3 linked regions of the Notamacropus eugenii genome follow. The protein of the gene in region 2 purifies or fractionates together with the protein of the main gene of each other region. This does not show direct contact. Links are inferred from orthologs where the notes say so. Each region holds a gene or a part of one and is shown on either strand. Other genes may lie near its edges.

The links. The genes of interacting proteins can lie anywhere in the genome.
Region 1: the proteins of GSK3A (region 2) and PRUNE1 purify together in Homo sapiens (affinity purification with mass spectrometry; 3 studies listed by BioGRID and IntAct, with this or other methods). This does not show direct contact. The link is inferred for Notamacropus eugenii from reciprocal best matches to the Homo sapiens genes GSK3A and PRUNE1.
Region 3: the proteins of GSK3A (region 2) and FRAT1 purify together in Homo sapiens (affinity purification with mass spectrometry; 4 studies listed by BioGRID and IntAct, with this or other methods). This does not show direct contact. The link is inferred for Notamacropus eugenii from reciprocal best matches to the Homo sapiens genes GSK3A and FRAT1.

The regions. Positions count from the first base shown.
Region 1 is NC_092873.1:304,856,994-304,865,095, reverse strand, and holds the start of PRUNE1 (exopolyphosphatase PRUNE1), read right to left. Parts: upstream 3,110-8,102; 5' UTR 3,095-3,109; coding exon 2,873-3,094; intron 2,432-2,872; exon of another isoform or gene 2,346-2,431; coding exon of another isoform or gene 2,328-2,345; intron 1-2,327. UniProt on the Homo sapiens protein: Phosphodiesterase (PDE) that has higher activity toward cAMP than cGMP, as substrate. Plays a role in cell proliferation, migration and differentiation, and acts as a negative regulator of NME1. Plays a role in the regulation of neurogenesis.
Region 2 is NC_092876.1:26,014,931-26,022,532, forward strand, and holds the start of GSK3A (glycogen synthase kinase-3 alpha), read right to left. Parts: upstream 3,012-7,602; 5' UTR 2,887-3,011; coding exon 2,499-2,886; intron 2,229-2,498; coding exon 2,151-2,228; intron 1,946-2,150; coding exon 1,758-1,945; intron 302-1,757; coding exon 218-301; intron 115-217; coding exon 4-114; intron 1-3. UniProt on the Homo sapiens protein: Constitutively active protein kinase that acts as a negative regulator in the hormonal control of glucose homeostasis, Wnt signaling and regulation of transcription factors and microtubules, by phosphorylating and inactivating glycogen synthase (GYS1 or GYS2), CTNNB1/beta-catenin, APC and AXIN1.
Region 3 is NC_092872.1:214,099,690-214,106,772, reverse strand, and holds FRAT1 (proto-oncogene FRAT1), read right to left. Parts: upstream 3,110-7,083; 5' UTR 2,966-3,109; coding exon 2,099-2,965; 3' UTR 334-2,098; downstream 1-333. UniProt on the Homo sapiens protein: Positively regulates the Wnt signaling pathway by stabilizing beta-catenin through the association with GSK-3. May play a role in tumor progression and collaborate with PIM1 and MYC in lymphomagenesis.

The sequences.
Region 1 (8,102 bases), on a different chromosome or scaffold from region 2:
AAGCAACTGTAAAATCTTCTGCTTATTTCCCCAAAAGTTCAACATGAACCTTTGTCTTCATCACTGTTTCTTGTCTAAAATATATCCTTCTGACACTATTCCTTTCATTCATTCCTCCTATATTACTATTTCCCCATCCTTCTCTGTGTTGAATAGAACGAATGATGCTAAATACTTTATAATACAACCTAATAATATTTAGCAAATGTTTGTTGAACTGAATGTATTTATCACTCCTTAGTCAACCAATTTGAGAGTTGACCATCTAGTCCAAAGCACATATAAAAAAACCTCTACTTGAACAGCTCTCTAAGGAAGGGGACGATAGGTCAGCCCATTCCATATGAATAGCTAGAGCTGTTTTAAATTGGCCCCTTTGCAACTTCCACTCTGCTATTTGGGGAAGGTGGCCAGGTTAAACAAGTCTAATACCTTCTCCACATAGCAGCCCTCAAATATTTGAAGATAACTACTCCGTCTTATACATACACACACACACACACACACACACGCCTCCTCCATCTTCTTTTCTTTAGGCTAAATGAGCCTAATTCTTCCAACAGATCCTCATGTCATGGACTTGAGGCCCTTCATCATCCTGGATGGTCTCCTTTGGACACCTGAATTATCCCTTTACTTCACCTAAACAAAATAAAAAGTCACAAAGTTGGATTGCTCTTGGAGGCTACAGTATTCTGTACACAACTTAAAGTCTAGAAGACCCTAACCTGCACAGAAATTTCATGTCCATTTTCTTTCTTCCCTACTTCAGTCCATAAAAGTTTGAAAACTATTTCTCTAGGACTGATTATTAAACCTCATTAGGAGCAATATTTTAACTGTTAAGTAGTTACATTTTTTCTTACTTATAACATGAATTACAGAATTTTAGAAGCAGAAGATCCTTAGAGATATCCCAAATTTTGTTTATAAGGAAAAGCTTCGTATAACTGGTTCTAAATTTTAAATATTAATTATTCATATAATAAAATGACACATGGTTAGATATTAATATATTAAATACATGATATTAAACATAATAAAACATTTAAATTTATTTTAAAATTTAAAATATAATTGGTTTTAAAATTTACCCCTACTCCTAGGGCAAGTACTTCAATTACCCGAAGTCAAAGAATAAATGGCTGAAAAGAATAGGAAACAAAGTAGATGCCCATTGACTGGGGACTAGCTAAACAAACCAAAGTACAAGAATGTAATGGAGTATTACTATATTATGCTGTAAGAAATAAAGAATATGATGAATATAGAGAAGACTGGAAAGCTTTATGGGATCTGATACAGAGTATAATAAGCAGAGCCAAGAAAACAATACTGAAAGGACTACAACAACGTAAATGTAAAGAACCACAAAATGATCAAAAGTGAATTTTGCAAAATTATAAAGAACAGGGATGGCACTGAAGGAGAGATATGAGAAGATAACCCCTCACACCACTCCCTTGCAGAAGCAGTAGGTCCACAGGTATAGAATATTGTATATATTTTCTGACTTTTCCCAATATATTATTTGGTTTTGCTGGTTTTTTTCTCTTTTTCCTCTTTCTTTTTTTTCCTTTATAAAAATAATTTTTATATAGAACGACTCTCTGGGAAACAGTGGAGAGAGGTATAATACTAGGAGAAATTCTAATGTTGTAATAAGCAAAAAGATATCAATAAAAATTTGTTTTAAAAAGGAATAAATGGCTGAATCTACAAAAGTGAACACTAGCTGATTCTCACCTATCAGGGATATTGTAAGACACTATCATTTATTATCCAAAAATAGAGTACACATTTAATATCTGTTTAAATTTCGTTGAATACAAGAAAATTATAAAATCAGGAGATTTTTTTTAAAGGAAAACGAGAGTCAACTAACCCCTAAGTTGTTTTAGGTATAATCTGACTTAGAAATGAAATATGCTAATATGACCTAGGAGAATCTTTTTTCCTAGCAAACTTCTTAAAGAGATAACACCATGTAGTGGATATAGTGGATTTGAAGTCGGGAAAACCTGCATATGTGTTCTTTTCAGTTCCTTAAGAGCAGGGAGTGTCTCAATCTTTATATTCCCAATATTTAGCACATTGTAAGCACTTAATATGTTTTGTCATTCGTTTTCATTTATTCGAGTCACACCACACCACACCTCTCTGGGTCTCACTGTCAAATGGGGATAGTAACACCTGTAGCACTAAACTGACAGAGCTGGTGTGGGATCTCATGAGATAAAGGCTTCTGCAAAGCTTACAGGTCAATCTGATGCCACTTGTTAGTATTATAGCTATGACCATCAGCCTAGGCATACTTCACCACTGACCAGGAATGGGTCACGCATAGCGTATTCAGAGAAGACCGAAGACAAGCTAACATTCACAATAGTCGCGTCCAGGATTATTCATGTTTACACATTCAGACGGCAGGGAATTATGATTAAGTGTGGGTGCCTAAAGGAGAGAAAACACGGGGGCAGGACACCATGTGGTGTGCGTGCAGAGCCGCGCGGGTGACAAAGTATATGTTTAGCCCAGAGACTGAGACCACAACGGCCTGTTCTCTAGAACGTGACCAAACTGTGCCAAGGGGAGAGCCCGGGCGCCCGGGCCTCCGCCCCATGGCCCTCAGGAGAGCCGGCAGAAGCCAGCCTGGGTGAGCCGTCAGTTACCCGGGGGGAGGGGGCGGGGCGGGGAACCCCGAGAAGCCCCGGCTCGGCCCCGGGGGGAGGGGCGCCTGTGACAGCCAGCCTGGCACCCGCCGGGGCGGGAAGGATCTCACGGGCGGAGGTCGGGGTCCCCTTCCTCACCTCACTTCACCTCCCCGCCCCGCCCCGTCCCACCCTCACGGAAAGGGCCCCGACTCCGTTACCTGCACGGCGGCCCGGCAGCCTTGCAAGAAGCGCTCCATGACCGAGCTCCAGCGGGAACGGCTCAGCACAACCTCCTCCGCAGCCCAGCAGAGCAGCCCCTCCAGCTGCCCACGACGCGCCCCGCCCCGAGCCCGCAGGCCACAGGCAGCCGGCCAGAGGCGCGAGCCTTGGGGAGGAAAGGGGGCGGGGCTCGCACGCACCGCGTACCGACCCCGCCCCATGCCCGAAGAGGGGGAACGTCATCGGTCCGCTCTCGTCGCCCGACGTCACCCCGCCCTTCAGAGGGTGGAGACACACTCGTTTCTCGCCACGTCCTGAGCCGCCTCTTCCTTGGTCCCGCCCACAGAACGGTTTCCGGAGGCAGGAATGCATCCCGGGTTGGCGCAAGGTTTGCTGGGAAATGTAGTCCGTTGGGCCTGAGGAAACGTTGAAGTCGTGAGAGAAGATAAAGGGGATTCATTTCCGAAGAGAATACTTAGTGGATGTTTGCAAATGCCACAAAAACCCAAACTTTGACTTCTGTCCTTTTCTACTGAGTTCAAGCCTGTTCACACAGTTCTGGTTCACAAAGCATCAGAGACAGTCGGCTTGTGTGCTACATAGCAAACACCTTCCTTGGGTTTTCTGGGGGAGTCCTTATTCCAAGAGAAGGAAATGACCACCCTTCTCCAAAAATCCTAGAACATTTTGATCACTCGAATTTCCAAGACGTGGAATTGGCGCATTGGTTAAAGAGACGGCTTCCGGTTTGATTTCTTCCTTCTACCCTCCAGGTGGCATTAAAAAACAAAACAAACAAAAACCTGAGGTTTTCTGCTAAGGGGGGAGGCACCTCTCAGTCAGTCAGTCAGTCAGTCAACTAGCACTGTGCCAGGCGCTCTGTCAAGCTCTGGGGATACAAGATAGGCAAACGACAGCTCCTGCAGCTCTCATAATCCGGACAATAAGTAAAGAGTTACGTCCAAACAAGATACTGTACATGCAGGAAACATAGCCTGTATATCCGATGTAGGAGAGATGCATGAGCACCTGCATTCAGGGGGATTAGGAAGGACTTCTGGTGGAAGGTGAGGCTTTAGCTGAGCCTTGAAGGAAGTCAGAGAGACTAGAGTTGGGGTCTCAACTAGACGAGATTGCATCTGAGCCACGCCCCCACCATCTATTCTCTTCTGAATTTCTCTTCCTTGTTAGGTGATCAGGCATCCAAGATAAATCCCTAGCTAGAATTTTTACAGTGCCTTAAGGTTTGCAAAGCACTTCATTCATTTATTTTAGTTTTCTTGTTTGATCTTCACATTGACTCTGATGAGTAAAGTTGAAGGCAGCTGAGAGGCACTGGAATAAGGAAGACTCACCATCATGAGTTCAAAACTGGACTCAGATGCTAACTGTGTGACCCTGGGCAAGTCACTTAACCCTGTTTGCCTTAGTTCCTCCTTTGTCAAATGAGCTGGAGAAGAATCTTTGCAAGAAAGCACCAAAATGGGGTCGAGGACAGTTGGACAAGACTGAACCACAACAAAGTGAAGTTGAGTGAGGTTAAGTGATTTCCTCAGAGTTTGTGAGTTTGAGAGATTCAGAGGTCCTGGGTTCACCATGAAGACCTTCCTTATTGACAGGAGAAGTTCTTGCCTCAGAGAGGGCACCATCATCAGGGGAAGGAGTTCAAACTCCTAACCTAACAAAAAAGATGGGCTTTGAAAGAGAATGTGAAGCTGAAGTAAAATGTGGAATGACTGATCTGCAATGACAGTTCTAATGGTTCTGCAAACTGCTTCATATTCTGATGTCTATGGCTTAACTTCCTGGCAGAATGAAATAGAAGATATGTTACCAATTCCTTAGTTATTGTCCATGTCTGCTGAGAGTCTTTTGTATCTTTTAGCATTTCTTTTCTATGTAGAAATACATGTCCCATACTTGATTTTTATTGTACATGGAATAACTTCCTATTTCCCCCCTTGGGGAATATATAAATGAGCCAAAACCCAAGTTTTAAATAATTTGTTCATAGATTGCCAAGGTAGGAGCTAACTGAGCTAAAGATTATAAGAAAAAATATCCTATCCTTTCTTCTTGGTAATCACATTCCCTCAAGACTGAACCTGATCTGGACCATGGGCATGTGTCCAGAGCAGAGAGAGGGGACACCTTAGTGGAGAAGGTAGTGGACATAGTGCCTCAATTTCTCAGACTCAGCAGAGGCTCTTGATGTTAGGCTTAAAAAAAATCCAAAACCCTTCACTAGACCCTATCTTTCCCTCTAGCTATCATCCTAAAACTCTCCTTTCCTTTTTAGCCAAACTCCTGGAAATAACTTTTCTACTGGTTGCCTCCCTTTTTCTCACTCACTTTTTAACCCTTCACAATCCGGCTTCCAACTTCTTCAATCAAATGAAACTGTTCTGTCCATATTTATCAAGTATTTCAACTGCCAAATATGATTCTCAGTCCTCAACCTCCTTCACCTCCCTGAAGCATTAAACACTGTTAACTTGATACTATACCCTCTCTTTTCTAGATTTCATCACAATGATCTCTCCCAGTTTTCCTCCTACCTCTCTGACCACTTCTCAGATTCCTTCTCTGGTTCATCATTCTTATCATGCTCCCTAACTGCTGGGGTGAACATAGTTTTGTCCTGGGTCCTCTTCTCTTTTCTATGTACATACTCTCTCAGTGCCCATCTTAATTCCCATGAAGTTTAACTATCATCTTTATGCAGATGACTCAGATGTGTATATCCAGCTCTAGCCTTTCCTCTGAGCATCACTAAGGACCAACTAGGAATTTCAAACTTGATGTCCCAGAAATATTTTAAATTTAACATATGCAAAACAGAAACTAAATATCTTTCTTCCCAAAACTAGACTTTCCTATTTCTATAGAAGATACCAGCATTCTTCCAGACTCCCAGAAACCTTTGAATTGTCCTCAATTCCTAACTCTCTTTTATCCTCCACATCTACTCAGCTGCCAAGTCTTGCTGTGTCTACCTCCATATCATTTCTCACTTTGGATCCCTTCTATTTCTATTGTGCCCAGCTTGGTTTAGGCCCTCTTTACCTCTGCCTAGGTTATTGCAAAGGCCTCCTGATTGATCTGCCTGCCTGAAGTCTTTCTCCAGTCCAACCTCCACACAACTGCCAAAGTGATTTTCTTTCAGCACAAATGTCACCATGTTATTCCCTATTAAATAAATTCTAATGGTTGCCTCCTGATTCCAGGATCTAATATAAACTTCACTATTTAGCTTTTAAAATCCTTTTGCAACCTTGTCTCAACTTGTCTTTCTAGCCTCCTTAGACATTTTTCTCCCCTTCCCACACTGATGCAGCTAAACTCACTTTCTCTTTCTTCCTTGTATAATACATTCCATCTCTCATATCTCTGCCTTTGTACTGGCTACTCCTCATAAAAATGTACCTCCATTTCAGCTCTGCCTTGGAATTGCTCTCTTCCTTCAAGATAAGTTCAAGTTCTATCTGCTACATTTTAGCATTTCCTGATCTCAAGTGCCAGCATCCTCCCCTCCCAAGCTACTTTGTATTTAACAATATTGTATTTCTTTTCTTTATGTTTATTTCACATATACTTCTGGGTGTACTTGTTTCTCCCAGCAAAATGTAAATTCCTTGAGTATAGGAAATGTTTCACTCTTTTGTTTGTACCCACAGCACCTAGTAGTAATGCCTGGCCCTAGCATACATAGGCTCTTAAAAAAATGCTTGTTGATTGACTGATACACTCTATTGCTACATACTTATCTGTACACATGTTGTATCACTGGGTAGAATGTGACTTTCTTGAAGTCAGAGACTTTCATTTTTGAAATTGGGAAGTCTGGAAATAAGGGTAGGTTAGAAGGGAAAAATATTGGGTCTTGTTTTGGAAATGTTGAGTCTGAGGTATCTATGGGGACATTCCAGCTCTCAATTTTACATGATCCTATGGGACTTCTTGCCACTCTAACACATCACTTGCCCTTTCAAGGCTTCTTTTGAAAACTTTGTATATGTAGCACCTAGCACGGTGCCCAGCTCATAGGGCTAGTTAATGATTGTTCAGTTGAATCTGGGGTCCCCTCAGAGTTTAGAAATGGAATTCCTATGTCCTTGTCACTTCTCACAGATCCCCATTACCTTCATCCTACCCTTCTTACTCCGTGGTAGTGTCTGAGGCAAAGTTAATGTATTGCTCCTTCAGTTGTTTTCATTTGCTTATCCATCTTTTTATTTCCCTCTCTCAAACCCTACTCCTTCTTTGATGCTCCCAAGTTGGTAATTAATGGGGGTGAGAGGAGTGGGGAAACGGCCAAAGATGCGGAACTCAGGAGTCTTGGACTGTTTGTACTGTCTTCTCAGTTACCACTTGGTGTAAGGTTGTATAAGGAGAGCTCAACCAGTTTGTTTGGGCTGAAAAATGACACAGCAAGGGCTCAGGAAAGGAGAACAGGGGCTAAGAGTACAAGGAGGGAACATGGGGGGGAAAACGCCAAAATACACATTGGCAAGAAATGAGTCAATCGCAAGTAGCACACCAGAAAGCTCCCAGGCTGTTCCCCGAAGGCTGGGTGGGCAGCACGTGGTCCCCTCCCTCTACTGCTCCTCCCCCCTTGCTCTTCCCAGCTCTCACCAGAGAGGCACAAGAGTCCTCATCCTCTCTAGCAGCAGTGGGAGGGAACAGAAGGGCTCTTGTTTTTCTCTGCTTCCTTCTCGTTCTCCCTCTCCCTCTCTCTGCCTGTCGCCAGCTGCTGACCACGGCAGATGGCCCTTATGAAAACCTTTTGGAATTCGGCAGTCTGCCCCTGCCCCAGGGAATCTGTCTTTAACTGATGATTTCTCTCAATAGAAAAAAAGAAGAAGGAAAAGAAGAACAAACAGAAACTTCCCCCTGGAAAACCAGGCTTTAGTCAGGGCCTGGAGAGCACACCCTAGCACGCCCTAGACCTGGAGACCCTCCCAAAGCCTAAAGGGGTCTGAGTATTGGAAGGGTGTACAGGATGGGACTGAGGGGAGAAAGCTGAGCTATATCTGAGGCACCCCCCTCTCTTTCCCACTGCCTGACAGTGGTGGGCGTGAGTACAAAACTGCTTCCACCAAGCCTGGACACCAACCAGCTCTGAAGTCCGTCAGCCCAGGTGTTGACAGCTGCAAGCAGCTCTTGAAGCTGAGCAAAGAGCATCCTTCTCTGGATTGGGAGCCCCTGCAAACTCCTGACTGACTCCCT
Region 2 (7,602 bases):
CACCTTGACATAGATGGATGGGATGGTCAGCTTGGCCTTGGTGAAGTGCCGTGCCACCCGGTAAACGGTCTCAGGCACAAAATCCAGCACCAGATTCAGGTAAAGCTCGTCCTTCTGCCATGAGGAAAGAGAAAGAGGGTGAGGAGGGGGCCCGGGCGCTCCCCAGAGCCAGAGGTGCCAGAAGGGAGGAGCTGCTTGGCCTCTAGGCCTCACTCACCTTTTCTCCACTGGAGTAAAAGAAATAGCGAAGCCGTACAATGTTGCAATGGTCCAGCTTCCTCATGATCTGCAGCTCCCGATTCTGGGGAAAGAAGGCAGAGCTGAGCCTGGGGGCAGGGGGCAGTGGAGCCCCTGTCTTCCCCCTCCCAGACTTGTCTTCTTTTGTGGTCTTGGCCCACTCTTGCCCAACCTGCATTTCCTCCCTGGGACCTTGCCTCAGACCTTTCCTCCCCTGTCCCTGAGACACCAGAGCTCCTGCTCCCTTCTGGGCCCCAACTTATACCTGGCTCAGCTCCCATCTCCCTCCTTCCCTCTCAGGCCCACCACAGGACCCCCATATTCCATGAAGCCTCTCCTCTGATGCCCACTTCCCCCCTCCCCAAATACCAGAAATTACAGGGTTTAGCAAGGGAAAGAATCTTAGAGGTTATAGGCCTGTGACCCAGAGCTAAAGGCAGCCAGCCCAGCTCCCTCCCTGAGGCCCAAAGACAAGTGACTCATCCAAAGCCACACACACACAGAGGCCCAAACAGCACTTGAATCTGGGTCTTCTCAGGTCAGATTCACCTCTCTTTCCACTAGGTCAAACTGTCTCTTCCCAATTCCCCACTCTTTCCAGTCTCCTCCTTCTCAAGCACCAAAGCCCTTGTTCTCCCAACGGGAGCTCAGGCCAACCGCGTCCCCACCCCTTCTCCCTTTCCTTTCTGGGGTGGTACCATGCCCTTCCTGGGCCCCAGAATTGAGTCTTGCCTCTGGACTGCCTCTCCCCCTGGGGCCCAGATCCCAGCCTCATCCCTGCTTGGATCTGGCCACTCATGACCCCTGACACCAGAGCTGCCCTGGGGTCGGCCCCTCTGAGCCAATCCAAAAACCTGCTCTCCCTTCTCTTCTGGTCCCCTTTCCAAACCCTGATTCAACGCCTCCCAGGTCTCAGCTCTCTCTTGTACCAGTCAAGGGTCAGAGGAGTCCCGCCTTCCTCTCCAGTTCTCCATCTCTTTCCTGGGCTCCCTAGCTGCTCTAGAACCCTGATCCTGCCCTCGTCTCCTCTCACCAACCCCCACCCCTGTCTCTTGTCCCTCTTTCCCTCCTTCTCCTCAGGCCTGACCTCTTGGATCCCCTAGAACATGTTAGGCAGAAGCCAGCCCTCCTTTGGAGGACCTCGACCTTCAGTTCACCACCTCTGCAGGTCCTGCCCTCCCAACCCCACCCCTTGGCAGCCCAGAGCCCCGCCCCCAGCCTGGGTGCTCCTGGAGCCTGGATCTCCTGCTCCTCTAGACACAGTCCCCTGTCCTCACCAGGCTCCAGCCTCCAAACACTTTCCTCTGCATTCTGGTCTCTCTCAGTGGGGAGTAGGATTTGAGCGGGGTGCCCAAGAGAATCCCAGCCTAGCCCTAGCCCACCTCCCTTTGTTGTCACTAAGTCCAAGCCCACAGCACACCAGTCCTTGGCCTGACTGTGTTGGGGCTCTCAGATCTGCCCGGTGCCCTCCCTGATCTCTAGGGTGTGGGTCCAGACATGCGCACTGCAGCACTCAGTACCTTGAATCTCTTGTCCTGCAGCACCTTCTTGATGGCCACCAGCTCCCCAGTCTCGGCCAGGCGGGCCTGATAGACGACACCGAAGGAGCCGTTGCCGATCACCTTGATGTCCGTGTAGGCCACTTCCTGGGAGCGCTCGGGCCCCTGCCCCAAGGTCGCCATCACCGTGGTCACTTTCCCAGTGTCACCTGGAGAAGAGAAATGTGGGGACTCCCTGCTGGGGGGCTGGAGAAGGGGTAGGGGAGGTCACATTCAGCCTCTGGGTCCAGTCCCTCTGCCCTTCCTGGGGTCTGTGTAAGGGGGAGATGAGGAGCTGATCTCAGCATCCCTCCTCAGTCCGGGAAAGAGGAAGGGCCCCTGACCTTTAACCTCCAGTCCCTAGGGCCACCTTACTGTTGGGGGGGAAAGGCTGAGACAAGACTTCTGGCTGGTGACTTTTGACCTCTACAGCTTCAGCCCCCTTAGTGGTACCTGCGGGGGATTAGGGGGAAGAAGAGGACTCCGTGACCCCCAGGACCACTCTCCGTTATGGAAAGTGGGGCACCCCGGCCCGGTGCCTCCCCAGGGCTGGGGTTCCTTGGCCGGTGGCTGCCCGCCCGCCCCTCCCCAAGCCCTGCAGAGGGGCAGGGTGTGCCGGGGGGTCGCGACCCCGGGACCCCGGGCCAAGTACGGGGTGGCCCCGAGCGCGGGAGGGGGCTGTGGGGAAGAAGGAGGGCAGGGGAAGCCCCCGCCCCTACTCACGGCCCAGCTTCACGGCGGGTGGTGGGAAGCTCGAACCTCCGCCGCCTCCGCCGCCTCCGGGGCCCGAAGGCAAGGCCACGTTCACGGCCCCCGCACCGCCGCCGGTACCCGAGCCGCCGGGGCCGGGACCGGGAGGAATGGGGCCGGGGGCAGGACCCGGGCCGGGGCCCGCACCCGAGGCTGGCGGGGCCGGACCCCGGCCCGGGTCCGGACCGCCGGCCTTGGAGACGGTGGGTCCGACGGTGGGTCCGGGGCCTGATCCGCTTCCGCCCGGCCCCGGCCCGGGTCCCGCCGGCCCTGGCTCTCCGAACGAGCTGGTCCGGGCCCGGCCCGAGATGCTGTCACTACTGCCGCCGCCGCCGCCGCCCCCCGGGGCTCCGCCGCTCATGGCGCCTCAGACGCCGCCGCGCTGCTCCCCGGGGCCCCGGCCGGGCCGGGCTGGGCTGGGGTCCGGCTCCGCTCCAGGCCGCGGCCGCTCCGGCCTCCGGCTCCGGCTCCGGCTGCGGCTGCGGCTCCGGCTCCGGCTCCGCGCCGCGGGGCTCGCCGGGAAATGCAGTTCGCGCACGCTCACACCGCCGGCCTGACCCCGCGGAGCGCACTGGGAAATGGAGTCCTCGCTCCACCACAGAAGCAACGTCATGGGCTCCGAAGATCGGGCCCTGAAGGATGTCGGGAGATGCAGTCTCCACGCGCTCTCGGGGAGCTGGCCCAACAGAGAAGCCTAGGAAATCCTGGGAAACAGCGTACATGCGCCCTCTCGATGTGCTGGGTGAGCCGAGGGCGCTGAAGACGCCTAAAGAGTTCGGCTCCCTGAAGAGCTTTGGGAGCCCCAAGGAATGCCGGGACAAGTAGTCCCCTCCCAGAAACTCCCAACTGTCTTGTCTTACGTCACGGACCGCGACGGCGAAGTCGCGGAAATATAATTCATTGCAACATTTAGGCACCTAAAGCCACAGAGGATCGTGGGAGATGGAGTTCGAGATCACCTCCACCCCCTCCTCCTGTCAAATTACGGGCCCAAAGAAGACCCTGAGAAAAAAAGTGAGGAGATGCCGGCCGCGAAGAGAAAGGACATCTACATCGCTCCCCGCCTCCTCTCTTCTTTGGTAATTAGTTGCAAAGAAAGGGGAAGCAGTGGAGTCATTGCAGGTTGTATGATGAAGGCGCTCGAGTATACGTCATGGACCCACCCTCGTAGGGGGGAGGGGTCAGCGAATAACAAAGCATTCTGGGAAGTGGAGTCTTCCTTTAACCGATAAGAGCTGGGAACCAACGCCCTCGCGCAACGACCGCCGAGAAAAGGAACGCTCTAGTCTTCAGCTCCTCCCCCACCCCTAAGGAATGCTGGGAAATGCAGTCCCCGTTTTCCTCCCCCGTGCTTCGTTTTCATTCCTCCCCGCGCACCCATGGAATACTGGGAAGTTGACTCTTCTCATTCTTCCTCTCATGCATACGGATGCACGTACACCAACACTCACTCTCGATGCTGAGAGGAAATGAAGTTCTGTAGTATACCTTTACCTGAGTCTCCGGAAAAGCTAGAAACTTTCAGCACTTCCTAACCCCAGTGAATTCTGGCTATTGGAGTCCTCACGTGGGTGCCAGCCTGACCCGACGCCCACCTCGTCCTACAGGTTTCTGGTATTTGTAGTTCTCCCTGAGCGGACAGTAGGCTAGGGTCGAGTAAGCATCCAGAGAGCTCAGTTCGGAGCCAGATGTTCTGGGATTTGTAGGTCTCCACGCTTATGGAGGTGGCGTTCCTAATGGATAGCAGGGGCATTGAAGAAATCTGTAATTTTCCAGCGAGACTGTTGGTAGCGGACGTAAAAAATCAAAGTCCAAAGCTGAAATTTGTGCTGCTGGGAGTTGTAGTTCCCAGCCTGGGCAAGCTGCACTGCCCCCTGTCGGACGTCAACCAGAAAAAAGTATGCGCATGTTCCGAAGTGGGCCACGCGGCTCCTTCTGAAGGCTCCGCCCCTCTAGGGGCGGGACGGGAGCGGGGAGAGGCCCACTGTGAGTTGCCGTTACCCAAGGTTGTCCGGGAGGGGGCGGGGCCGCTGCGTGAGCATTCTGCTACAGTTCTTAGCAGGGCAGGGGCGGGGGCAGATCCTTTAAAGGGGAAAGGGGCTCAGTGAGGAGGGGGTGCTCAGTGCGGACGGGGTGCTTGGACCAGGGTTAGGGGCTCAGTGAGGAGAGGGTGCTCAGTGCGGACGGGGTGCTTGGACCAGGGTTAGGGGTTCAGTGAGGAGGGGGTGCTCAGTGCGGACGGGGTGCTTGGACCAGGGTTAGGGGCTCAGTGAGGAGGGGGTGCTCAGTGCGGACGGGGTGCTCAGTGCGGACGGGGTGCTTGGACCAGGGTTAGGGGCTCAGTGAGGAGGGGGTGCTCAGTGAGGACGGGGTGCTTGGACCAGGGTTAGGGGCTCAGTGCGGACGGGGTGCTTGGACCAGGGTTAGGGGCTCAGTGCGGACGGGGTGCTTGGACCAGGGTTAGGGGCTCAGTGCGGACGGGGTGCTTGGACCAGGGTTAGGGGCTCAGTGAGGAGGGGGTGCTCAGTGCGGACGGGGTGCTTGGACGAGGGTTAGGGGCTCAGTGAGGAGGGGGTGCTCAGTGAGGAGGGGGTGCTTGGACCAGGGTTAGGGGTTCAGTGAGGAGGGGGTGCTCAGTGAGGAGGAGGTGCTCAGTGCGGACGGGGTGCTTGGACCAGGGTTAGGGGCTCAGTGAGGAGGGGGTGCTCAGTGCGGACGGGGTGCTCAGTGCGGACGGGGTGCTTGGACCAGGGTTAGGGGCTCAGTGCGGACGGGGTGCTTGGACCAGGGTTAGGGGCTCAGTGAGGAGGGGGTGCTCAGTGCGGACGGGGTGCTTGGACGAGGGTTAGGGGCTCAGTGAGGAGGGGGTGCTCAGTGAGGAGGGGGTGCTTGGACCAGGGTTAGGGGTTCAGTGAGGAGGGGGTGCTCAGTGCGGACGGGGTGCTTGGACCAGGGTTAGGGGCTCAGTGAGGAGGGGGTGCTCAGTGCGGACGGGGTGCTTGGACCAGGGTTAGGGGCTCAGTGAGGAGGGGGTGCTCAGTGCGGACGGGGTGCTTGGACGAGGGTTAGGGGCTCAGTGAGGAGGGGGTGCTCAGTGAGGAGGGGGTGCTTGGACCAGGGTTAGGGGTTCAGTGAGGAGGGGGTGCTCAGTGCGGACGGGGTGCTTGGACCAGGGTTAGGGGCTCAGTGAGGAGGGGGTGCTCAGTGCGGACGGGGTGCTTGGACCAGGGTTAGGGGCTCAGTGAGGAGGGGGTGCTCAGTGCGGACGGGGTGCTTGGACCAGGGTTAGGGGCTCAGTGAGGAGGGGGTGCTCAGTGAGGACGGGGTGCTTGGACCAGGGTTAGGGGCTCAGTGAGGACGGGGTGCTTGGACCAGGGTTAGGGGCTCAGTGAGGAGGGGGTGCTCAGTGCGGACGGGGTGCTTGGACCAGGGTTAGGGGCTCAGTGAGGAGGGGGTGCGCAGTGCGGACGGGGTGCTTGGACCAGGGTTAAGGGCTCAGTGAGGAGGGGGTGCTTGGACCAGGGTTAGGGGCTCAGTGAGGAGGGGGTGCTCGGACAAGGGAGACAGGACAAAGGTGTATTTAAAGGGCTCGGAAGAGCGACTCCGTTCAAAAGGATACTTGGTTCTAGGAGAGGAGATGGGGAAGCCAGAAGAGGTTCCATAAGGGCTGGAGGTGCAGGCAGTGAGGAGAGGAGTGCTAAGTGGAGATAGGGACCAGGGAAGATGAAGGGTCCGTTCCTTGGAGATGGATAGGAGATGGGGGCTGGGGGCAGGATGAGTATGGGCTTGGGGACCAATGAAGAGGGTGGAAAGGCTTAATTACCAGGATATTGTACTCATTGAAGAGGGTGGAGAACTCAATGAAAGGATGAAGGGAGCCGGTTTCTCTAGGGTCAGAGGAGAAGGCTAAAATTGTAAAGGGGCCACCTCACCCTCCATCTCCCACCGTCTCAGGGACAGGCTGAGGGGATCCCTTGGGGCTGGGATCAGGACCAATGAGCAAGTCCACTCTTCAGTGGGGACTGAGAATTTGTGGAAACCAAAGTCTCCACCCTGCAGGGTCCCAGCCCCCTCCTGAAGGTGACGACATCCTTTCCTCCGGCCCCCCCCCCCCCCACTACCACCACCCTCCCAGCAGCATCTGCGTTGCCTGGTGACAACTTCCTGAAATAGCCTGGCGCCTCCACCCCCAGCGGCCCCCACCCCAGGGAGTGACTTACATCACCCAGGAGACTGCAGTGGCCCAGTCCGCCCTCTCATGCCTCAGTTTCCTTATCAGCCAGCTCTCATGCTCTTCCTACTTTGGTGTTAGCCATCCTTCCCTTCTCTGACACGATTTCCCCATTTGTACCTATTTTTCCCATCCTCTCCTACCTAATAAGTGTGTCACAGAATGTAGTTAAAAGGGGGCTGCCAGTTTATTAAGTTTCTTTTAAGCACCAACTATGTGCCAAGAGCTGCTCCAAGTCTCAAAAGTCAAAAGCCAGTTGAGAAGGCAGAGATGACTCACCACAGCATACACAGCTAGAAAATTGGGGGTACCCCCCAGTTGCAAACCACTCTCTTGACTCGTCACTGGTTTAGATGACATGTGTGTTTGTTCTTCGTTGCCGAAGAAGACCATGCCATCAGAAAAATGATGACCTGACTTGCACTTCACTTTGTTTTGAGTGAGGGAGGGCTGAGCAGGTCACCAGCTTCATTTCTCCTCCAGATATCTGAATCCAGTGACCAGATATTCATCAGGATGACTGGAGATGACCCAGGATGAGGCAATTGGGGTTGTGACTTGCCCAAGATCACACAGCTAGTGAGTGTCAAGTGTCTGAAGTGAGATTTGAACTCAGGTCCTCCTGACTCTTGCACTGGTGCTCTATCCACTGCACCACCTAGCTGCCCCAATCATGCAAATATGCCCATATTTACAGATGAGGAAACTGAGGCCCAGAGAGTGGGAGAGATTTGACCACAGGTACAGAGGTAAGAAATTAATAGAAACAAGCTCAAATCCAGGTCCCTGGCAGTGTGGTAAAAGTAGATTCAGTTATAAAAGATGTGATCTTCCATAGGTGGGCTG
Region 3 (7,083 bases), on a different chromosome or scaffold from region 2:
CCACCTCTGCCTCTTGGGTGGGGGAACAAAACCTGTCTCCAAAAGTGTCAGATGTCTATTACCAGTGTACTTAAAGTGCATGGTTGAAGCGGATTTGAATGATATTTCAGTCTCTTATTACTGTGTGTTGTTTTAATAAATGGGGGTAGGGAGTTCCTAGGATTTGATCTTAATATTGAGCTAGCCCTAAAAGTAGTTACAGGATGCATTTATCCCATCCTTTTACAGAATGCTGAGGAACACAGGCTGTCACACATAATCCATGCTGACGTGTTTTCATCCCCATGGAAATCTGCTGGTTAGGCTGCCTTTGGCACAAAGGAAGACAGAAAATAAAAAAACCAACTTTATTTAACATAGATACTTCAGTAAAGTTAGAATCCTGTAAATCAGGACCACCACAATTTCAGACACTCCGCTGCGAAGTGTATGTGTGTGAGGATATGTACAGGCACACATCCACATACATCAACAGCCACATCTGGATGATGACCAAGCCATTGAAATTTCAAATAACAACAAAGATTGGAGCCACTGTAAAGGAAAATGTTTGCCGATCTTCTACATAGAGGGCAACATTTTCAGAATACTGAATTCACTCAAAAAAGTGAGGGATGAGATGGAGAGAGGAGAAAACAAATCCCCTTTCATTCAGAGATGTTGCAGGAGATACCACAAAAAGCCTCAGAGACAAACACATTTAAATGGGCCTCTTTCCCTTGATGCCGGGACCCCTACTCAGAACCTGCTAAAGTATAAACAAGAAAGGAAGAACATCCTGGAAAGAAAGGAAACCTTAGTGACCTGCAGTATTATGACAGGTACTAAGGCATCTTCCTCCCTGGTCAAAAAAGGCCCAAGAAGGGTCAACACACAAGCCTGTGGACATGTGCACATGTTTACACACACATGCACACAGTTTTCCCTCCCAACCAGTAGAACAAAGTGTATGTCCCCAGGAGACTCTTAACAGTTTCAAAACACAGGACTCCCTTGGAGAAGGTGCTGAATATACAGTTACTCCCTTGCCCAGAAAGACACAGCACCATGTGTGGAAAACCAGAATCCTGCAAGGACCAATTTTCGAAAGCCCCTCTAGACAGGCAGACTGTGGAGCCAAGAATTCTTCCTTCCCCAGGAACAAATCCTTCCCCTTCTCATTCCCTACCATGACCTGGTGGGAGTATTCCTCAGTTAAGCCTTAGAAACATCAGGCTGTTGCAATGTAAGGGTAGAAGTAGGAGGTTGGCAGGTAATCACTTTAAGCCACCCCACCCAAGCTTTACTCAAGTTCCTTCTTCTCACATTTAATGAAGTTGATTGTGTTCTAGCAGTAGGAACCCACAACTCAGAACTAAATCTAGTCTGGAAAATGCTATCAAGTTTTCAGTCAGGTGAAGTCACTGCATTTCTTCTCCCTGCTCTCAAATCCTTCTCTCCATTCCCACTCCACCCTCTCCCCTCCCCCCGCAAAAAACATGAGTCAAAGAAAACTACCAGTAGTGAAAACAAACTGGGTCAAGTCAAAGCAGGTAACTGGAATAATTCTCTGTTCTGAGTTCATGGTTAGCTCAGTAGGATAGAACATGTGCGAAGGAGGCCAAGATGGAAGGTGCAACTCCTATTAAAAGGCCAGTTAATATTGCACAGAGGAAAAAACAACAACTCTGTTCCAAAGGCACCCGTAGAGGTGGCCAGTTAAGGAATCCTGAAAAAGGTGTGCTGTTGGTCACATGGCAACCAGGCTAAGGTGCTGTGGATGGCTCAGTGCAAGTCAGCACCACTCATGACAAGTGAAAAAGAGGATCTTCTACTGACGCTCTTAGGTCAGTAGTGCAGTCTGTCAATACACAGGATCTATTCATCCTAATTAGATCAGGGGTTCTAATTCTCGGCCCAACCCCCCACAAACCACCCAAGTCCACAGCCTCTACATCACCCTTCCCCACTCCAGAACCTCGAAAAAAGTTCCCCCATCTTTCCCCTTTGCCTTCGAACCCCCGTTCCCCACTCCAAGTTCATTCATGTCAAGTCTCCAGGCCTTAGGCTTTCGGGTTCTTCCCCTGCCTTCTTCTTGCCCTTGAACGCGCTGGGCTCACTAGCTGCTGGGGACCAAGATGCCATCTGCACGTCTGGGCACCAGCTGGCTCCGGAGGCCCTCGGGGTTGGAGCAGGCTGGTCGCCGAGGACTACAGTGAGCTAGAGTCCCTTCTGCCTCAGCCTCCCGAACAGCCAGGGGCCACGGTGGAGCGGGGCCGGGCGCTGGGGGCAAGGGGGCCCTAGCCCCAGGGTGCTGCCTAGGGCGCCGGGAATGCAGTCGCCGCACGGCCTCCTTGATGAGGTTCCCCGAGAGGACAAGCTGCTGCAGAAGCTGGTGGGGGTCGTCGTCTCCCGCACGGAGGCCCGGCGGCCCTCGGGACCGGTGCTGGGGCTGCTGCTGCTGCAGGCGCCGGGAGGCGGCGGCGCCCCGAAGCCAGGCGCGTCGGCACGGGCCCGGCAGCGGCTGCGGGAAGCCCCGCTTGCAGACGTGCGGGCCACAGGCGCCGCTCCGGCCCGGGGCCCCCCCCGCCACGCAGGGGCCCGGCGGCGCCCGCGCCGGGGGCTGCGACGCGGCGCCCCCCTCGCTCGCCCAGCACAGGGCGGCGCGGGCCCCGCTGCCCGCGCACTGCGGCGGCCCCGGAGGCTGCGGGGGCGCCGGGGCCGGCCCCGGAGGCAGCAGCAGCTGCAGGACCGGCGGCCCCCGGGGGGCGGCCCGGCTCCCGTGCGCCGCGTCCAGCTGCAGCGCCTCTCCGATCTGGGCCACCAGCCGGTCCACGTCCCCCGAGCCCCCGACGGTCACCGACTGCCGCAGCACCAGGAAGCTCTCCTCCTCCTCCCCCTCCCCCGCGGCGTCCTCCTCCTCCTCCTCCTCTCCGGCCGCCGCCGCCTCGTCGTCCTCGTCCTCCTCCTCCCTCCGGCACGGCATGGCCTCGCTCCGCAGCCCGGGCTCCGCAGCTCCGCCGCCGCCGCTGGGGCCGCTCCTCGCTCCCCGCTCCCGGCCCGGCCCCGGGGACGGCTCCCGAAGACCAGGCGCCGCGCTCTCGCCCCGAGCCGGCCGCGTGCGGGGCCCCGAGCGCTGCAGCCGCCGCCGCCGCCGCCGCCGCTCCGGGAACTGGAGCTCAGCCGGTTCAGTTCGATTTGTAAACAATGGGTGACGCGGGGCGTTCGGGCGCTACCACTGCCGCGGGGCGGGGGGGCGCGGGGAGGGTCGAGCGGGGCGGCCCGGAGAGGCCCGGGAGGGCGCGCGGCGGGAGCTGGGCCGGGCGCCGATGCGGGGCCGTGCGTGTGCTGCGCCCGCCTGGCCCGGGGCGATGGAGCCCTCGCGGGCGCGAACCTGGGCAGCTCCAGCGCAGACCCAGACACGCGCCGCCACCTCGTGCCCACTCAGCTTGGACTCGCCCGGCTCCTTCCCTCGGCCTCTCGTGGGGGTCGCGGGCTCAGGGGTGGGATGGCTGCCTCTGGGTTTGGGGTTTTTGCGTAAAGTGGAGGAGGGGAAATTCGGGGTGTTGGGCGGAGGAAGGGACGAGGCGGGAGAAGGAGGCCGGCAGAGCCGAGGGAAGGAAAGGGGGCAGCGTGGGGCCGGTGGTCACTGTGCCACCTGCTGTCCCCACGCCCCGGGGGACCAGACGGCGGGCATCTGGAGGCGAGCTTGGCCCCGGCCAGAGCGAGGGCAGGGTTCCTGCGGGCCGAGGGGCGGCGAGCAGGAGCGGGGAGGCGTGCGGGGGGCGGGGAGTCGGGCCTCAGTTATTCCTGCGGCGGTCAGCCCGCCCCGGGCTCCAGACCCGCGTCTGTCTGCTGAGAGGCTCCCTTGGAGGTCGTCGCCACGATCGGGGTGTGGAGCGATGAGAATGTCTGGGAGTAACCTGAGGACCGCGGGACCAAAGATGAAGGAGGGTCGGGAGAGACTTTTAGGAGGCGGAGAAGGTCGTTTCCCAGCATTTCAGCCCCCCACTATGTGGAAGGGTAAACTAAGGTCCAGAGAGCCCAAGTGACCTGTCAGGGGCTGCACGCAGGCCCCCCAGCTTCAAATCCAATGATCTTTTGGGGGGAGGGGTAAGATTACAGTTGGGTTGGATTTAGGATTTGAATTTGGAAAGAGCATTGGTCTTGGAATCAGGAAGATTCATCATCTTCCTTCGTTTAAATCTGGCCTCATGGGCACTTACTAGCTGTGTGACCCTGGGCAAGTCACTTAACCTTGTTTCCTCAGTTTCTTCATCTGTAAAATAAGCTAAAGAAGGAAATGGTAAATCACTCCAGGACCTTTGCCAAGAAAACTCAGCTGTATCATGCAGTTAGGGATAAAAGATAACGTCCCTTTTCTCCCCTATCCTGGTTCAGGTCTTCATCACTTCTAGTCTCCACTAATATAATAAGCTCCTTAATTGACATCCTTGCTTCGGATCTTTCCCCTCCACATCATTCCTTTCTCCATACAACTGCTAAATTGATATTGCCAAAATATGGGTCTGACCATGAGGATCAAAAATAAAATACTCATCTTGAAACAATAATGAAAGTCAGGAAATATGATGTTAAAAGAATTAGAAAAAGAAAGTCAACCAGTCAAGTCAGAAGTTACAGAACCATAGCTCAAAAAAATTAAAATAGAAAAAACTAAAAAAGAACAGACAATGACATCAGCCATATGTAGTCTATATGACAGGAGAGTTATAAGCGTAGAGCGATAAATGATAGATGAGCCAGAGAGTTACACAGAACAAATAGCAAATCCAGGAGGTGAAATAATTATTGACAGTTATGGAAATGGTACTACTAAGAATGAATAAATACATGACAGCATATGACCTAATCATAGAAAAGGGAAAGACAATCAGAGACTTAGAAAACACAAAACTATTCAAGATATTCAGACTAATTAGAACCCCAAGGAAGTCACACGTGCTATAATACGTGCATTAAATAAGCAGCGAGGCAAAAGAAATACCATTCTACTTCAAGGTCCAGCAAGCACAGGAAAGAGTCTCATTGCACAAAAAATACTGAGCTAGTTGATAGTGTTGGATGCTACAATCCATCCAATGTTAACTTTCCTTTCAGTGACTACTACAACAAAAACATAATTTGGATAGAAGAAGTTGGTAACCTGGGACAAGAAGTAAACCAATTTAAAGCCATAATGGCAGGACAGAGCATAAGACTAGATCAGAAAGGAAAAGGTAGTAAATCAATTGAACTAGATCCAGTCATAATGACATCAAATGAAGATATTACTTGTGTCAGAATTGAATGTGAAATTAGACCTGAGCACTCAGAGCCAATAAAACACATATGTGTTGACAGAAAGCTAACCAAAACTCTGGATGGTAGGTTTTGTATAATTGATTCAAAGGAAATTGCAAATATATTCAAAACTCTTAAAGATGAGGGCTTCTATCCAACTATAAGGTCATACATAGATCACTGGAATGATGTGCCTATGTGAACAGAAACTGAGAGGAGTCAGAAGAAGATATAAAAACAGACAACAAAGCAGAAGACTCCACAGAAACTAGGCTCATCGGCTGGGAATTCTTGAACAGGCATTGGCAGAAAAGAGTCAAATCAGCCTCTAATTCCACTGCACAACATACTGAAAAATCAGATGCCAGCTCATCAACCAATATATCAAGTGATCAAGGTCAAGAACAAGGAGAAATTACCTTCTCAGGGGAGACAACCTTTCATCTGGGACCTTGATTACTAGTGGCTTACATCAGAAATGGAACAGGACAATATGTAAATGCCAAACATCAACTGACCAAGACAAGGTAAGTCAAAGAACTCATATCATGCTACTTGCCAAGAGCATCAACCATCAACTAATATGTAACTCTGACTTACAGGATATACCCTGCCAGGGTACAAATACGTTGAACCTGGAATACTCTTGACCAGGAACAACCAACCAATCCAAGTGTTCAAGCTACCAAGGAACATGATGAGCACTATCATCTTATGCAACAATTGGGCAATAACCCTTCCTTCTACTTCAGCAAAGCTGATGCTAAATTTATCTAGCAGACAGAACACACAAAAGACTGGGGAGGCTAGATTGCAAACAAGGCATTTAAATTGAAGAAGGCAATAGCACCAGAACTGGCACCACCAAACAAAAAGCAAAAAACCAACTAACTGTAAGTAAAAAAAGACCAATTCCAAAACATGTTTTCATAAACTTAGCCAAAAAAAGAAGAGTATTTAGTTGGTCAGCAAAAGAAAATATGAGTGACTCACAAGACTCATCAGAAGTGGACTCATCCATGTTAACAGAAGAACCAGGCAAAAGAACCATGGGAGGAGATGGGGGGATGGGTTGGGAGGTCCACAGGAAATTATAATAACACAACTGAATGGAAATTTGAAGGGGAATGGGTTACAAATAACATGCAGTGCATCTAGACATATCATCCTAAAAGAGGCAGAAAATCAAGAATACATACTACAGATCTCAAAACCTAAAACAGTTGCAGGACAAACTGCCTATGATGGTTGGATTGACTACCAACATGCACAAATACTAGCATGGTGGTTCCTGTTAGATACAAATGCATGGGGAGTATGGATGAGTCCAGCAGACTTTGCACACATGGCTTGGATATGCAAAACCATAGAATTAATTGACCTAAAACAAGAAATATTCAACACTAGCATAAAGACAGTCATAGAAATAACAACAACTCCACCACAAACTCAGTACACCAATGACCTCACAGCAACCATGCTAATTGCAGAGGATTCCAATAACATATTTACTTTGTCTTGTGAGGGAACATTACTGAGCACATTAGGTTACAAACCTTGGCAAACGAACCAGTTAGAACAATTTGGCTACTTCTTTAACAGATTTAATGACTTTTATAACGCAACTGCCACAACAGGCTTTACAGGAAAAATGGAGATTCCTCATTATGGAAACATGTTTCTCACATTTGAAAACAGCATACCAATAGAAATGGTAAGAACAGAAGATAGTTGGTATTCAGTACAGTAGAAATTCAAAGCAGATGCAGTCAGTCTAAGAAGAAACATTCAATATAACAG